Oryzias latipes: one gene and its partners. The protein of the gene in region 2 interacts with the protein of the main gene of each other region in a biochemical or structural test. Links are inferred from orthologs where the notes say so. Each region holds a gene or a part of one and is shown on either strand. Other genes may lie near its edges. The genes, in order: anos1, fgfr1 and nedd4.

What was found.
Region 1: the proteins of fgfr1 (region 2) and anos1 form a complex in vitro, tested with the Homo sapiens proteins (3 studies listed by BioGRID and IntAct, with this or other methods). The link is inferred for Oryzias latipes from reciprocal best matches to the Homo sapiens genes FGFR1 and ANOS1.
Region 3: the proteins of fgfr1 (region 2) and nedd4 form a complex in vitro, tested with the Homo sapiens proteins (2 studies listed by BioGRID and IntAct, with this or other methods). The link is inferred for Oryzias latipes from reciprocal best matches to the Homo sapiens genes FGFR1 and NEDD4.

What each region holds. Positions count from the first base shown.
Region 1 is NC_019879.2:24,201,762-24,205,413, forward strand, and holds part of anos1 (anosmin-1), read left to right. Parts: intron 1-3,226; coding exon 3,227-3,371; intron 3,372-3,652. UniProt on the Homo sapiens protein: Has a dual branch-promoting and guidance activity, which may play an important role in the patterning of mitral and tufted cell collaterals to the olfactory cortex. Chemoattractant for fetal olfactory epithelial cells.
Region 2 is NC_019867.2:20,628,944-20,633,316, reverse strand, and holds the start of fgfr1 (fibroblast growth factor receptor 1 precursor), read left to right. Parts: upstream 1-1,505; 5' UTR 1,506-1,804; exon of another isoform or gene 1,805-2,012; 5' UTR 2,013-2,141; intron 2,142-4,373. UniProt on the Homo sapiens protein: Tyrosine-protein kinase that acts as a cell-surface receptor for fibroblast growth factors and plays an essential role in the regulation of embryonic development, cell proliferation, differentiation and migration.
Region 3 is NC_019861.2:21,574,709-21,578,360, forward strand, and holds part of nedd4 (E3 ubiquitin-protein ligase NEDD4), read left to right. Parts: intron 1-2,556; coding exon 2,557-2,607; intron 2,608-3,185; coding exon 3,186-3,247; intron 3,248-3,417; coding exon 3,418-3,514; intron 3,515-3,652. UniProt on the Homo sapiens protein: E3 ubiquitin-protein ligase which accepts ubiquitin from an E2 ubiquitin-conjugating enzyme in the form of a thioester and then directly transfers the ubiquitin to targeted substrates. Specifically ubiquitinates 'Lys-63' in target proteins.

The DNA of each region.
Region 1 (3,652 bases), on a different chromosome or scaffold from region 2:
GTGGGCGCCACCCAATTTATGACATCAACCCAGTCGGCAGCATGTCTGTGTTTCACCCACAAAAACAAACAACATCCGAACTTTTGCAAAGATGGACGCGCATATTATACACATAAAAGGGAAAGGTTTTTGCCGATCACCACTGGCTGTGTGGAAAAAGTGTGTGTGTTTGTGTGTGTATAAGCCTGGGGGCGGGGCTGGCAGTGCAGCCTCTTCCTAGAAGGGGCGGTTCCTCCCTTATCTACATCACAATGTGAGAACGTCGTCGTTGGTTGAGTTGGGAGGGGCTGGTACTCAGAGCGCAGGTTTTTAGAGGAAACGTGTGAATGGTTAAAAATGAGGTTTCCTTTTGTGAGGAAATAATATTATTATATACTCAAAAGCTCAAAAAAGTTGATTTTGCGTGGTATAGACCCTTTAAGCTTTAAGTTGTTTTTTTACAATGCTGAACACTTTTGGGTTAGAGTTAGGGTTAGGGTAAGTTGTAAAATTTCTGCTACCGGCCAATGATGTTAGGCGCCATGTTGTCTGGAGCCAGGTCCCTCAAAGCCTGTGGTCTCACGTTGATTGTCCGAAATGTTCAACAAATTTTGTGTAGTCCCCTTTCAAGTAGTAGAGGGTTGGACTTCCAATAATCTCACTCCTGATAGACGAAAGTGATTGGAATAGAAATGACGACTCAGACAGATTTGGACCAATCACACCTTACTTACGGTATTGAGCTCCAACATGACGGCCTCAATATCACAAAAAAAATGCAGACTGAATTGACTTGATTTGGTTAGAGCCAGAAGTAATCTGTTATCTATGGGCGACCTCACGCTCACTCGGTCCAGTTCTCACATACCGTCAATGAGAAGAACAGCTGAAATACGATCATGGAGGTACATCTGGAGGACCAGGACCGGGCAGTTTGTGTGTTTTTCATCGCGCCTTTGTCATTTTGCATCTTTTTGAATACTTTTGGAGCACGCAATGGGGAAAAAGAAAAAGAAGGACAATCAAGGAATTGAACTTCCAGTCATTTGTGTGCTTGCTATCAGTCACACACATTGATGCAATGTATTCTTTGTTGTTTTAAGTTCTTATGGTGATGAAAGAGCCTTTAAACACAGTGGATGTTTGAAGGGAAAAACATTAAGTATGATGAATAGCCCTGCCTGAAGTGATAAATCACAACGGCAACATCTGTGTTTCTAAATATCTCAATCTGGATTCCTTTTCAGGAGGTGTTCTGAAGCTTTTATTCCTGATTGACTGAGTACCTTTCAAAAGTCGTGCATGGGTTCACTGTTTGACTTCTCAGTTTTTACAGTAACTGTGAGTTTCCTTCACTGTAGCTCCAACTCCAAACCCTTCTCTTTTACTTTAACGGATGCTGCATTCAACCTGAGGGGAGGAGAACACATCCAGGGCGAAGGCATAAATATTTTTTAAGAGATTTTGCTGATTTCTGTCATTAAGACCCTGGAACTGCTTTCCCTCCTGGAATACTAGCAACTATTTGTTCCAGCAATAAACAAACCATTTCATGGGATTTTGGAGACGAAAGCCTGTGTTTTGATTACAGCAAAGAGCTCACAAAGATTGCAAGTCCTTACTTGGACAAAATAAACTACAGTCCTGTGGACGTGTATGGGTTTGGTTTAAAAATGACACCATTGGACAGATTTTGAAGACATTTGAAAAACAAAAACAAAACAACAACCCTGGAATCTGCAGATGTGCACATTAAAAAAAGCATCAGTTCACATTTTGAAACTTTCCTCCCGACTGGTTTAGAAAAGAGGAACAAATGAGAAACGTCTGCTTCACTGACGCAAAGCCAAAGCGTTTGTGATTTTGACACAAACTGAGCAGCTTTCAGTATTTAACTGAGTAGACAAATCATTTGATCACTCCAGAATTTGGTGACCCAAAACTATGAGACAACCGCAAAATGTACGCGTTCTTGCATTTCCAAACAAGGCTCCGACTGAGGAAGGAATGGAGCTGCAATGAGCGGAGGAAACGCAGCCGTTGAATGAATGTCAGCGAAGATGCTTTGGCGGCGTTTGAGCTGTTGCAGATCAACCAGAGCCAGACAGATCTGATCCCTCATTCTGATGAGGGGCGTGTTTGACCATTGCACGTATTTAATTGCAATTTTCACATTAAATCGTAAAGACCCATTAAACTGTGTGTTTTGGGCGTTTTTAACATCATACTCTGATCATCTTTTGATCCATTGTGAAAGCCTTCCCAGCAGTGTTGGTTGTACTCTGAATTATCCCCCGGGCGAGGAGCCCCCCCCCCCTGATGTTGCTCGCCATTTTTGGTGCACAGGTAATGTTAGGTTGTGGATGCGAGGGGCTGTAAGCTAGTGGGAGAGTGTGTAAACAGAGATCTCTCAGTTATGGATGACAGGAAGGGGAGTGAGGTTAGTTAAGCAAATAGTCCCACCCACAACAAACAGTAAGGGGAATTTTTAATGAACATTAAACTCTACAGAAACAATGTCATCAAAAACTACACAGCTTTTTTATTTTGGCTAAAAACCACATAATCATATCTAAAATACCACTGGAACTGCTTTTAAAAAAGCTCAAGAGATGATCTTAGTGGGATTTTAATGCTCCATCAAAACAATCACTTTAACATCATCCAGAACTATCAGATCTTCCTTTTTTTCCATCTGGGAGCACACTATCTCCAAAGAGAGTTTCAGGAGAGATTCAGGCCAAGAGACGGATTGTCTAGACGCTCCACACACACCTTTAGAGAGATTTTTTTTCTGAATTAGTTTCTATAATGTGGAGCAGATGTGGCACAAAAGAGATAAAGGTGGCAGACACCGGACCCGGTTGACACATGTAGTGCTGGCTTCCACTTTGGCACCTCGGGGCTTTGAAAGCAGCCTGCTGACGGAGGAATGTCAAAACACTCGAAGCCGGGAAGAGGAGCTCATCAGGTTCACGCTGATGGTGGAATGCTGGAAGCACGGTGAGGAAGCCCTGGGAGGTTTTGATAACACAGCTCTCTCTAAAGACCCTCAAGGCTATCTCTGCACCGCGATCCCTTCTGCGGCGCTGCATGTGTTCTTAATAACCTGGGCTTTCCCACAGGCCGTGGCGGCTGAGCTGTCTGGTCAGTGGTTGGTGCAGGCGCGCCGCCTTTGAAGGGCGTCTCAAGTGACAGTGTGGTAACAAACAGATGCCAACATCCCAAGTGTTTTCTTTTGTGACAGGCCCAGAACTGGCTGGATCTGGAGGGACTGCAGCAGAACAGCAGCTACAGCGTGGAGCTGCAGGCCATCACGTACTGGGGGCAGGTGCGCCTGAAGAGCCCCAAATCCTCGCTCCACTTCACCACTAACCAGAATAATGAGTCAGGTAAGTAATGACTCTCAGGCTCTACATGAGGCTGGGCAGATGTGATCGCTGCTCTATGCCAGCTATGTGTGGTATTTTGATGGAACACTGAAAATAGACTGAACCGCTCCTGTTGCAGTGCAAAGAGTTTATAATTTTGCTGGATCTTTGCACTGAAGAAAACTCAATAAAGAAAAAAGAGCCGCATTCTGGGAAAGGATTTCATTAGTTGTGAATTTTTTATCCTTCATGGTCTTTCATAGTCACGTGCAAGGCAACACAAAGGTCCTAAACAGAGCATT
Region 2 (4,373 bases):
TGCAGCTTCTTAGAACTAAAAATAAACTATTTAAGAAATGTGAAATTCAAATAAGAGTAAAGACTAAAGCAAGTTCAAGTTTGTGACTGCTGGTAACACAATCCAGCCTTATCACTGCATGCAGGATGAAAGGCTGACACATGCCATGACATAAATCAGTCTGTCAATCAATCCATTCTTTCATCTAACTGTGAGGCTGAGCTTCATGTGTCCCTGCAGCTTCAGTTGTCACTCATTTGTCAACTGTGACAGGAAATCAAAGGAAATATGAGCTCATCACATGAGTTATGCGTTTGATGAGGCAGAGCAAATTTTGCGTTTGTGCTGACCTTGCAGGCACATTTGAATTTCCACTGCTCTTTGTAACTGTTCCAATTCTGTACACCAAACAATTGAACTCATTTATGTATGCTTTGAATGGAAAGCTGATGAAAGTGGTTGCTTTCTTTGGGAACATGGTTGTTTTTCTCATTTGATAATGCATACATCCAAGAATCAATTATGGTGGCATTTGTTCTGCTTTTGCGAGAGGGTCTTATTGATTCAAAAAAGAAGGAAAATATAATAGTTGAGTCATGAAAAGTCTCCCTTAGGTAAAATAAATTAACGTTTATCTCATATGCTCCACTCAAACAATCTATTTATATTTAAATTGTATTTGTATTACCGGTAATTGCAATGTCAACAAGATTTGATGTGAAGCAGTTTTTCTGCTTAAAAATTCCCTATTGTTTTTTAAGAAGAAGGCAGTTATTTTGTTTTTCTGACAGTTTTCCTGCATAGATCTCCATTCTGTGGAGTTTGGTGAGGTGCTGTGGATGGAAGGGGTGCCAGGTTTCCAAAAGGCTGCATGTCCCACGTCATGCTAAAAAGAACCAAGGAAATTCAGGAGTTCTCATTACAAAATAAAACACAATGTTTGTTCTTTTGTCAACTCAACAGCTGGATGTGTTAAATGCAATGAGCATAATCTTTAGTACATTCATACTAGCACCCCTGAAGATTATATAATATTTTTTAAATAATTTCTAACGTTAGATTTTTTTCAAGTTAAACTTTATATCAAATAAATTGGTTTCTACCAGATGTAAATAACCCTTAGCAAAAAATAAGTCTAAGTGAACTACATGTACTTAATCTATATGTTTACTCATATACTATCTAATGTAAATTTAAAATGTTGAAATTCAGTCTGAAGAAGACTTTAGCTGGTATACTTTATGCACTGCACGTGGAGGTATTGTTTTCAAACATTAAAAATGGTAAGGACTTTTAAGTACAGTGGAATGAAAGCCAACTTCTGCTTACTGTTTAATTATATGTTTAAATTGTGTGTTGTTTTCATTTGTAAAGTGTTCTTGGGAGCCTGGAAAGGCCCCTTAAAATTAATGGATTATTGATTTTATTACCATCAAACATTTTTATCCTGACTTTTATTTTGAAATTTTGAAGCGGAAGTGGTGCGTGCACTGGTTTTGACTTTGCAGCGGTGAGAAGAATGCAATACTCTATATAGAGGGAGGCACGGATTGACTTGGTCTCTCGTTATCGTAACAGCATTTCGCCATTAGTAATGTTCAAAAATACTTTCCATGAACGGATATAATTTTTTCTTTCTTTTTTGTAAAAGCCGCAAGACCGAACAAAGTCGCTTCCGGTGGGTTTTGTTAGACTGAGTAAGTTAAAGAACTTTAGGACGCAGTTTCCAGAAACGCGGATTTCATCCTAGCGTGCGAAACGTGTTGGGGATAAAGGAATCATCAACACCAGCCCGGAGGCTGCTCTCGTTTTTCTTATTTGTTAGGTAAGATAATTAAAGCGGTCGCAGAAAACAAATGTAAGATCATATATTTAGTGCAGACTAACGCAAAACTACTAACTTTTAGCTGCTAGCTAATATTGATTTCCCTCGCGGCTTAGTAGTTTGGAATTTGTAGATTATGAGTGGGGTGAAATTCCTTCTCTCGCACGAGTTTGTCAGAAATATAATTTGACCTGTAAGCTGAACGCAGATAACTCGACTTCGTCAGCGGTGTGGATATACAGCTTTGGGGGACGTTTTCTCGAACCGAATCTCAGCTCAGGCAGGACTCGCTCTCATCTGACCAACACTGGCTGTTTCACTGCTCCCCGCCAGGAAGGTGAGCTCTCTCTGTTTTGTTCTTTCGCTCTTTGATTTAACTTTAGTTTACTGTTTGTGTAAGGGGATAGTTATGGTTTCTAAAAAAAAAAATCCACGTTCTGAAATAAAAATAAATAAACCTAAAGCGGTTTGGGGGGAGGGGGTAAAAATTAAATTCTGGAAATCCAGTCCTTTTTCCTAAATTAAGGCCATCACGAAGTGCATGTTCGGTCACATCAGATCATCAGATCAGGAAAATGAGAACATGATAAATTATGTGAGCTGAAAGCATACATTTTTTTAACTGTACAAATTGGCTTTTTATTTTATTTTAAATTGGTTTATCAACCTTCTTTTTGTTTGCCCTTTTGCCTAAAACGCATTCAAAATTGTTTTGAAAGTCAATATCTAATCCTCTAGCTGTTCCTCTTCTTTCCTTGCTTCTGACTAGCAGAAGAAAATACTTTAAAAATTATTATATGCATATATTTTTTAAAAACGTTATTATTTAAAGTGTCAGTTGGAGTCGACAAATATGCATCTGTCCTCAAGGCTCAATCTTAATGGGCAGGACTGATGTTTTGTAAAGCTGTAAATGCTATGTTATTAAAGAAAATGAAGAAGAATGCTGGTTTGAAGAAGCAGTATGTCTGCAGGGAGTTTACCAAAGGGAGAAAGGTTTTACCTGAGGCATATAATGAGAAGTGAAGGAAGAGTTTTGCCCTTTAATTTACCAGGCTGCTTCTTTGGCTTAGTTATTGTCACTTAAACTGTGTCTCTGGAAGTGTGGTGTCAAAAATGGATTTTCTTAAAGTTTCTTAAGGTTTAATTTCACTTATTTTCCGTGTGATAGATGTATTTTTCTCTGGTTGACAGTTGCACAGTTGATGATGCTTGGTAGAATCCCAACAGTTGGTGATCCCTGTTTTATGGGGAACAAACAAACACTGCGAGTGGTACTAAAAACACTCAGGGTTTAAGTGTCAAACAAATGGCGAAGTGTCAAATGGTTTGAAATTGATTGTCTTTACATTTTAGTGTAATCTCATGATATCCGATACCACATCATGACATGCTGTTGGCCAACTAATGCTTCAAGGTCTATGGTTGTGAAGAAAGAAAGGTGAAAGAAAAAAAGATGTTTTTTGCAGTCGCCTTGGGGAAATGGTCTGATGCCCCGCGGCCACTGAACTGCATCCATGTGCGGACTGGCCTGTTGCTGGCTGCAAACCCAGACTCAATTGGAAGGGGGTGATTTACAGCATTTGGCTGCTGAGGAATTTTATGCATGGATGGTGGTGAAGACTAATTATGGTGCAAGCCATGTTATGGGTTAGTACTGTAACCTTTGTTCCTGCATAATGAAGGAAGCTTAATGTGTCCCGCACATTGTTATTCGTTTTGTCTAACCTCTTTTTGGTTTGGCAGATCTTTGGAACATGTGTTCCTTTCCCTCCTTCAGACAAGTTGTATTTCACAACTATTTTGTAAAAACCAGAAGCAAAGATATCATATTAATATTTTTAAACCAGCATATTTCTTTTATTGGTCATGCATTATGAGTCAATGATGACTTTGCATAGTGTTTTTTTTATTTTAAAGAAGTTCACTACATTGGATGCATACAGCCATTGGAAATGTATAACTTTGGGTTGTAGATGTGGAAAGAAAATCCAAATTAGCCATCTTTTTAGGTTGCTCTAAATGATTATCTAGTTTAGTCATGCAGACAAGGGAGAAAGGACGATTTAACAAACGTTTGATATCTAAATCTACTCAACACTGTTGTCATTTAAATTGAAACGGCATGATGATTGATTATTAGCTCTGTATTATTTCATAATACAATTACATACACAAAAAACCCAACTACCACAAAATATTATAATTACTTCAAGCAGTAACCCACTTCTTCACTTAAATGTCAAACTGTTTTTCTAACTTTTATTCAAAAGCAAAATGTTATTTATATGAAAAGTTAAAGTACCTTTAAAAAAAAAGTTTAAAACTAGTTTTATTAGTTTTAAAAAACTAATGCAAAAAATGCTTAAACGATAAATTCAATATTCTAATATAAGAGTCATAACATTTTCTAAAGATAAATGTAAATAACATTTCTCGTTTTGTATTTATATTAATATTTTAGATACATTTATGGATCAATTGATTATTGACATGGTGCGTATACAAGGTCTTTCTACAATCTCTCCTGCTTTGATGATTGTGCAATATCTAGATAGTTAATTTGGAA
Region 3 (3,652 bases), on a different chromosome or scaffold from region 2:
AAGTGAAGCAAAAATTCTTCAGGGTGAACCAAGGACAAAATAAACAAAACCCTAACTTACTGAAACATGTAATGTTACCTGTAAATAAAAGAAAAGGGAAATCAATGACAAAACACTAACCTCCCTAGACTAACAAAAACAGGAGAAAACGAGTACTAAAGAAAATGGCAGTTCACCCCTACAGCTTCACTTAACATAACTACAAACCAAAAGACTAAACATGGTGGGCACAAAACCACTAAACTACAAAATACTAGAAAACAACACTAAGTGCAACACACAACAAAACAGGTGGAGAGGAGCGCCAAGCTGCAGTGGAGACATGTTGCTGCAAGGCTCCCTTCTCACATGCTGGAGGTCCAAATGGTGGTTGTAAAGGCTGCCTCCATCAGCTTGGGTCCAAATGGAGGCCACACCTGAAAATAATCAGACATAGACATACACACACAAAGATCAACAAAAACACAGAAGTCCCACTCTGATACGAATCAAATACACAAAACACAGAATAAACAGAACAAAACAAAACCAAATACGGCCACAGCCGTAACATCAACGATATTCGACATCATTTGGGTTATTTTTTATTTTCATGAAGCCTGCTACCTTCAGATGGTGCTGTTTATTTTTAGAGTTTTCAATGCAGCTTGAAGTCCCGCTCCAGTCAGTTTTGTATCTATCTTTAAAAGGGTTCCCAGGGTCTTTTATTAAGATTATGTCTTTTAGGACATAGTTTCTGCAGAGCAGCAGAAGTTCATCAGAAATTCGCCTCTGAGTTCTGGGCAAAGTAAGCCTTCCCTGGCTTCCCATCATCCTTCTGTTTACAGCCCCTCACAACTCTAAGCTCACATTATCGGTGCAACAAAAATGGCGAACAATATTGGAGCTATTCAGCTGTACAGTTCTGAGCCAGATCCAATCTCAGACGATGGAAACAAACTCGTACCTGGATCTAGTCGTCCACAACCGGATGCATCACAGTGGAGCTGGGCAGGGAGTTTGCGGCTCGTTGACTGTAGCAGCTGTGTCATTACTACAGGGATTTTTCAAACGGCATTATTTCGTCTGCTCCTTATTCACCACAATTTGAATAAAGAAATAACCAGAAATTCAATTGTAAGCTTAATTTTCTTTATTCATGTCATCCATCATGAGAAAAATGCTACAAGAACTTGTTAAAAACCAAAAACACATTTTTCATTGGAGTGGGTCTTTAGTAGGCACAAAGGCTTCAGGTCATGATTACCCTGATTACCCTGTCCCAGGCTGCAGCAATGCACTACCATGTTTTTAGTGTATATCTTTCAATAGCCTGCATCGGCTGATTATCAATAATTGGTGCTATGCAAACATTAACACTCTGGAAGCTACAGATTTTATTACCACAATGTGCTGGTGTGTCTCTCTGAAGAGATTGACAAAAATTCACCAATCACACCATGAAGATGCAGCGTGCTCTGTCTCCTCTTTGTGCATATCTTTGCTACCCAGTTTTGCTATCTCATATTGTAAAGGAGCCAATCCTGAGACCGGGTACCTTGTACAAAAAGTTCTGACCTTGTAAAACAAATCCCCCCTTTGCAAAGACAGACAAATTTGATCTCTTTTTTGACCTCAGCCTGCAAGGAAAGGAACAGTTTTACTCATTTCAGATTCCTGAGAATCAGCAATTCCCTCACCTGAAAGAGTCATCAATACCAGGAAGGAAATGTTTAATTTTTTGATTAAAGAGACTTTTAAGATCAACGTTTTGTTTTTGTTTTTTTCTTTTTTTATCTTCTATTTACTTACACAAAAGGCTTTATTCTAAATAGGTAATGCTCAGTGTTGACCCCATACACGTTAATTATGTTTTGTTTAGGGAAAAATATACTGATAAAACCAGCCTCAATCCATATTTGTCACCTTTGGACTGTTTAGACAGTTTGACCTGCATGTCTGTTGTTTTTTCAAAGCAATGTTTTTTTTACCTTTTAAGGAGAAGCTTTCAAGAGAAAAAAAAGGCACACACTAAATGTTCCAAATGCTTGACGGCAAAACAGTGTCCATGTTGCATTACTTTTTATTTTCCATTTGTCTCGCTGTAACACAGAGCTGCTGTTCATCTGTTGCTGATAATCACTCATCTGAGTTGCACACCGAGATAAAAGGCTTCACTCGTTTTAAGCATGGGACACATTTTCTGTTTGCGTATTTGTAAAATTAGATAGAAAGTACAGTTGGTAATGAACTAAAGGGGGAAGAGAGAAAAAAGACATAAAATGCTCGGTTTAAACCAAATAACAGACACAATTTTAATGTGTCTAATCTGAGATACACAACAAGATTTTTGATGTTGTAAAACTTACATATGCTGTGTATCTTGTGATTTTGAGAAGTGAGAACATTTTAAGGTTTATTAAGGCTAAAGATCAAGGATAGAAAGGTAATTGTAATGCTAAGAGTATGATGCAGCGGAATAAATTGCACCAACAGAAAGTCAGCGCAACTTTGAAAAGTGCGTGTGTCTCACTGAAACATTTTTGACACTTGTGTAACTTCCTGTTTCTCTGACAGACACGTGATGACTTCCTGGGACAAGTGGATATTCCTTTAAATCAGATACCGGTGAGTGGCTAAATGTCTTTGTATGTACGGACAGACCGAGGAAGAGTGTGGCATAGTTTACAGCACATCTACAATGGAAAACGTGATTATATACATCTTTACGGCCTGAATTACAGCCTAAATTTAGACAGGAATGAAATAGCTGAATAATTAAGGACTACAGTGTCTGCAAGTCAAAACTGTATTTACTGTCCTGCAACTAGGTGTTTTTACCCATGGATGCAGCAGAAGATGCCTTAAAGTAGGCAGGAGTCCAGAACGTACCCTACCTGTATGAGTTCTTAACCTCTGTCTCACCCATGCCTTCATGCAAACATAAATACACACACCGCGATTCAGATGTCAGTTCCCCATCGGTGTCCATAGTTTTGAAAACACTGTCAGCCATGTTTATGTTGGTGCCTTTGTTTTATTATAAATACAACTCCCTCAAATTAGGCTTCCTTGTGCACCGGTACCATCTTCCCATGTTTTATTTTAAAGTACACTGACACAGCCCTGGTGATCTAAACGTGTGCACATTATAATCAAAGTTTTTTTTTTATGTGTGTTTGTGGATTGTTTTTTTTTTCTCACAGACAGAAAATCCTAGTTCAGAAAGGCCATACACATTCAAGGATTTTCTGCTCCACCCTCGAAGGTTGGCATTTCATCATATGATTTACTTTGCTCATTTTAAGATCCATTTTTTTATGTTGACATTTTCATTTACTAAGAGAAGTGATACAAGTGAAACATGATCACAGTTAAGGATTTGCTTATAATGTGTAGATCATTTATTGAAAATTGACTGTTTTTTCCCCCCCAAAGTCATAAATCAAGAGTCAAAGGATATCTGCGTCTCAGAATGACCTACCTGCCAAACGACTCAGGGGAGGAAGCAGCTGACCAGACTGAAAACAATGATGTAAGTTGGCCCTTATTTTTCATCAATTGGTCATTTACTTCAGCTTTAATCTTCTTAGAGGATAAGTAAAATATTAATTGACTGTATTTTTTCCATGTTTACTGTCCCACTTGGTCTGCTTTGCTTGTATATGTTGGC